Linked DNA regions of Rattus norvegicus. The protein of the gene in region 2 purifies or fractionates together with the protein of the main gene of each other region. This does not show direct contact. Links are inferred from orthologs where the notes say so. Each region holds a gene or a part of one and is shown on either strand. Other genes may lie near its edges.

Region 1 (2,880 bases), on a different chromosome or scaffold from region 2:
ACGATCAAACTGTATTTAACTGCATTAAAATGTAAACCTGAAAAGCTATCAGATTTTACAATTTCCCACCGGAGATCAATAAAGGCAGTCACTGCACACTTAGATGCAGTTAATATTCCTATAAAGTTGGGCTGCACTTAGGCAGGCCAGGCAGGTGTAGGACCAAGTCTCTGCTCAGATGAGCAGCCCAGCACAGGACACAGGACAAGGAGATCTGCTATATGCTGGGTGCAAACAAGACAGACTGGGTTCTGTTCTGAGACTCTGCTTGTCTAGAGCCACAGGCGTTGAATACAGAGCTAAGAGACGCACAGTCACGAACAACCACAGTGCCCTTACTGCCTGCAGAGCGTGTGACAGACAGTGCACCATGCCCAGCGGTCATGAGCTGCACACTTACATGTTACAGAAACTAAAGAGTCTAAAAAATGTTAGGAAAACTGCTATTCCAGTCTCTCTCCGTCATTGACAGCTTCTATTATGTGAACATACAGGTGTCCTCCGTGTCTTAATTAAGGACTTCTCTCCAGGCATGAGAATATCACTTTTTATTATTATTATTGTAACTTTAATTCTGTAACATTTACTGAAGTAAAGAATCAATTACGGTCTCAGGCTTTGCAGAACGCTTTCTGTTAAGAGAAGAAAAAAATGCAAGGTGAGTGGTTTTCCCTAAGAGACTGAACTGCCAACACTTTTTGTGGTCAGGGTCCAGGAATGGACCAACACTGCCCATGCTTGACATAGCAAGGTTCGCCTGCTACCCATTTTTTCCAGGGTAGGTCACTGAAAGCAAGCACAAGAGCAGGTTGCCACAGCACAGTATTCCAGAGTGGTGAGCAGCTGAGCGTAGGCGGGGTCAGACAAGGTGCAGTCAGGTGGCAGCTAAACTTATCAGGGATGCCCCTTGGTCATCTCCTCCGAGGACGCTAACAGTACAGGCAGCCTCAGAGAAGCAGGAAAAGCAGTCACTTGCCAGGTGCAGGCGCTGAGCCTATAGGAGTCTGTCATGGGCTTTCTTTGTTGCTGTCCAGCACACTCAACTGCAGGCCTCTCAAGAAGCACTGCTCTGTTTTCTTATTTCTTAGGATAACTACGGGGTTTTTCCAGGCCTGGATTCTGTTACAGAGTAGAGTCTGCATCATATGTTGGCCCACAAGTATTTTCTTTACCTTAAGTTAAACAAGAGGCATATATTTTACAGTGGTGCATTATAAAAACTAAATCAAAACAGCTTGCCAAACTATTTGTTATAAGATCTATACAGTTTAAAAAATGTAGTTGAGTAACCTGGGTCCTCTTTTTTTTTTTTTTGGTTCTTTTTATCGGAGCTGGGCACCGAACCCAGGGCCTTGCGCTTCCTAGGCAAGTGCTCTACCACTGAGCTAAATCCCCAACCCCACCTGGGTCCTCTTTTAAAAGGCAATAGTCCAGTAATAATGGGGCCTCTGTTCCCACACTAACAAGGGACAGAACCTCTCTCCCAGCTTGCTCCCCTGCCCTGCTCTGCCTGTTTCTCTGTCAAGCCAACTGTCTCATTATGATTCGCCCCATTTGAAGTGCATCTTCATAATAACTGGCGAGCAGAGACGAGCATCTTCCAATGGCAGAACAGTGGGGCTGCAGGGATGTGTGGTGCTCAAGGGCATTTGTTGTTATTCTGAAGACCTGAGCTCACATCCCAACACTCACATGGTGGCTCTCAATCAACCACTCCAGGGGACCTGACGCCTGGTACACATATAAGCATGCAGGGAGACACTCATATATAGATAATACTTATAGATTTAAAGATTCCATGTACAGATTCAGTTAGCATATAAAAATCTTTAAATCATCTACATGTTACAAAATGCAAAACTCTTGTAATATTTTAACAGGCAACTGATTCCTTCAAGCCCTAGTTTAATGATCTCGATTTTTTAGTATTACATTTAAAGACTATGTAACACCAATTAACCACCCTGCATGTAAAACAAAAGTCTTGTAATTGGTTCAAATCAGTTCAATGTAGGAACACAGGGAGCATTAGCCCCAAGCCTCTGCGCTTAGTGATGAAGCACAGACTACACAACTATCAAAACTGGTGCGAGTCACACGCGCTTCTCTTGAGATCTAGGAAATCAGTGTCCTTGGAGCAATGTCTTTTGAGAATCAAACTAGGCAAATTAATTAGTATCTAAGTAGGAGACTTAGTGTAAAAATTAAGACCCTCAACAAGAGAGTAGGTGGTGGGTAAACACTAGGAAAGGTCTTCCCGGGGCAGAAGTCTGAAAGAGCTGCTCTTTTCCTGTTTTGTTTGAGACAGGTCTTACTGTGAAGCCCTGGCCATCTTGAATGTGCAATGCAGATGAGGCTGGCCTGGAACTCAGATCTTCAGTCTGCTGTCACCCACGTCCTGGGAAAAGGTGTTTGCCACCACAACTGTCCCAGAGTGCAATTCTTTATCTCTACTTTGCTTATCAAATTGTAACTGCATAAAGACATAATTTCAAACTGTGCCATTTCAACTAAAGTTTGACTGCCTTTAAGTGTATCTGAATCTACCTTCTCAACCTGCTCACCTTCTACCGGTCTTTGGCCTGGCCTTTCCCTTGGAGGTCCGTGGCCTTTCTAACTTCATCAGAGACTGACGCAAACTCTCCTCTGTATAGGCGAGGTACACGTGGGAAAGGTCTACTTCAAATGGCTACAAGAAAACACATACGCATGTTAAACCAGAATGGGGAAGATTTAAAACTTGTCGGACATGAGGCAGAAGAACCACTAAAGAGAAAATCAAATAACCCTTAAGGTGTTTTCTGTCCCAGTATGCACGCTGTACTCAAAGCTCGAGAATTACAGGTCCCAATGCACCACAAAGTCCCCAGATGTAAAGAA
Region 2 (2,671 bases):
ACTGTGCATGTGATGGACAGCACGTGTACATAGACTGTGCATGTGATGGATGCATGTGTACATAGACTGTGCATGTGATGGACAGCACGTGTACATAGACTGTGCATGTGATGGACAGCACGTGTACATAGACTACACATGTGATAAGCAGCAGGGAAGCATCTGTACAAAGACTGCTGTAGTGAAAACCAAGTCAGGTAATCCACTGACTAAATATAGAAACATGGGCAAGTCATTAATATCTCACCTCAGTTTAAAAAAATATTTTACACGTAGTTGTCTTGGGGTTCATGTAGGGTGCACGTGTGTCACAGTGTGGGGTTAGGGTGCATGTATGAAGACAATGTGCAGCAATCGCCTTGCTCCTTCAACCACGTAGGTCCTGGGACTTGAACTCAGGACTTCAGGCTTGGTGGCAAGTGACTTTACTTACCCAGTCATCCCACTGGCTCTCACCATAGATTTTTTTTTTTAGTCGTAAAAATGAGAGTTGGACAGTGCTGATTCGAACCTTTCTGGCTTTAATATTTTGTGGGTAAAGGGAAACAAAGACAATAGCTGCATGCATTCAGAGTTGTAGAGCACACACAGACGCCGTCCCAGATCATACACTACCGTGTGTGTCAGGTGAGAGCACACCTGTTGCTTAGCTTTACATTTCTCAGGCAGATGACCGTCCCAGCACCAGGACTCTGTGAAACGTGTGAATTAAGGTAAACAGTATACTTGGATCAGTGGGATTTTAAATTTAAAAGCAGAAATCTTCCCCTTGACCTGCACTGTTCTGAATTGTATGTTTCCTTCAGTAGGAGATGATCTGTGCTCATATTGGATTCATTTGCTTGGTTTCTCAAGGAAAGTTTTCAGTATTTTACAATCAATGAATTATTTTCAAAACCCATTATTAATCATTGTGTCCCTTTTATTCCCACCACCCACTTCTAACTTAAGTGAACAGAGAGTCCTTTCCTTAATTTTCTTAGGTAAGGCAAAAATACTTAGCATCTTCACAGTTTACATCGTACATCTCAGAAGAACAAAACTTACAAGCTCAGTGTTGCTCCTGCTGCACTCACAGAGGATCCCGCTCCTCAGTGTCTGCTGCAGTTAACATGTCAGGACTCTGGGTCACTCGCTAGTCTATACGTGCATAACTTACTTATAGCATGTGTTCACTGTTAAGTTAAAAAACTCATATAGTTAAAAACTTTGTGAAAGAAACTTCCAGACACAGCATGGGATAAAAAGAATGAGGTTCATTTAAAATAAAAGGTAAAGGCAGCATGGCTCACACGAAACACTAGGAGTTTATAAAAAGAAAGAGAACGCAAAAAAAAAAAAAGTATGTGTATCCCATGTACATGAGTGGTTCCTGTGAAACACAGTATGAACACATGACTTTGGCCCACTCCTTTGCGGGCATGCCACCTTTTAATAGAGATTAGTCACGTAGTGTAAATGGTGTAGCATCTGCTTTTCCAGGCTAGCAGCTCTGCAGCAGTCTCATGGGAAATGTCATTCACCTCAAGATGTGGCTGGATGCGTGAACGGTGGAGCATCAACCATGTCAACGAAAGGCGTGAGGTTAGCGCTAACCCGAAGCTAACAGCGGGGAGAAATAAGCAACGCAGCCCCACAGGAGAACAACATGCATTATTAAGTCAAGATTCAAGGTTAGCCCACAGCACACAGATCTCTCCTCAGCCGAGTTATACATGGGAGGGTGATTTTATCGAGACCCAAAGCTGTAGTAGTAAGGCTCGTCAGGGCGGAATCCATATGCGGTGGCGGGGCGTCCGAGGATTCCCACTGGCTGACCAAAGCCATCCATTCCAAGGCTGGAAAGAGAAAGGCAGGTTAGAAGTGCTCTGCTTTCAACCACAGCAGGTCATTGTCAGGACCCCAGAAGCTCACTTCAAAGACTCCTTGACAGCGACATAATTTTCAAAGATATTATTAACCTTTTATATTCTCATTAAAATGTACACAATAAAATATATGCCTCTGACAATATATGTCCAAATATCAGAAACCTGTCTGGAGGGTCTGTTCCACATAAAGCAGAAGACTCAATTGAAAACGATTTGAATGAACAAATTATGAAGGACTAGGGAAAATCACATTCGAGCAGTGAGTGCATTACTGCACTGGGAATGATGGCATGGCAAGGGTTTGCGGACTATTGCACGGTCTCTGTCCTGAGGAATAGAGACGATCCCCCAATTAATAGGATATGCAATCTGAGTATCAGCAGTGAACTCCCAACACATCTAAGTTATACGAGTCTGAAAGAACAAGAGAGAACGCTACACGGCCTGCAAACCAGCCAGAGTTGGTCTGTAAACTCTGAAAGCCAAATTGTGTATCTTTTCCTTTTTAGTAAAAGCAACACAATTGTATGCTCTGGTTTACTCTATGCAAGCAGAAGCCCTAGAGTCACAAAGACAGCCCACAGCACAGACACAGTTTACTCTGAATTCACAATTTTGTTTTGTCTACGAATAAACTGTTAGAAGAAAATCTGTTCTTCAAAAGCATCTTAGCAAAGAGTCACCAATGCTGACAAAAAGGCAAGATGTCCATTTTCCAGGCAGCTAGGGCGGCTTCAACATGCTCATGCATGCATAGCTCATGCAGTGGACTTAAAGCCAAAGGAAATCATTTTCAATGC

The links. The genes of interacting proteins can lie anywhere in the genome.
Region 1: the proteins of Kifap3 (region 2) and Kif3a purify together in Homo sapiens (co-immunoprecipitation; 9 studies listed by BioGRID and IntAct, counting the BioPlex papers as one, with this or other methods). This does not show direct contact. The link is inferred for Rattus norvegicus from reciprocal best matches to the Homo sapiens genes KIFAP3 and KIF3A.

What each region holds. Positions count from the first base shown.
Region 1 is NC_086028.1:38,257,643-38,260,522, reverse strand, and holds the end of Kif3a (kinesin-like protein KIF3A), read right to left. Parts: intron 2,690-2,880; coding exon 2,565-2,689; intron 1,173-2,564; coding exon of another isoform or gene 1,169-1,172; exon of another isoform or gene 633-1,168; coding exon 584-632; 3' UTR 534-583; downstream 1-533. UniProt on the Homo sapiens protein: Microtubule-based anterograde translocator for membranous organelles. Plus end-directed microtubule sliding activity in vitro. Plays a role in primary cilia formation. Plays a role in centriole cohesion and subdistal appendage organization and function.
Region 2 is NC_086031.1:78,795,652-78,798,322, reverse strand, and holds the end of Kifap3 (kinesin-associated protein 3), read right to left. Parts: intron 1,839-2,671; coding exon 1,730-1,838; 3' UTR 502-1,729; downstream 1-501. UniProt on the Homo sapiens protein: Involved in tethering the chromosomes to the spindle pole and in chromosome movement. Binds to the tail domain of the KIF3A/KIF3B heterodimer to form a heterotrimeric KIF3 complex and may regulate the membrane binding of this complex.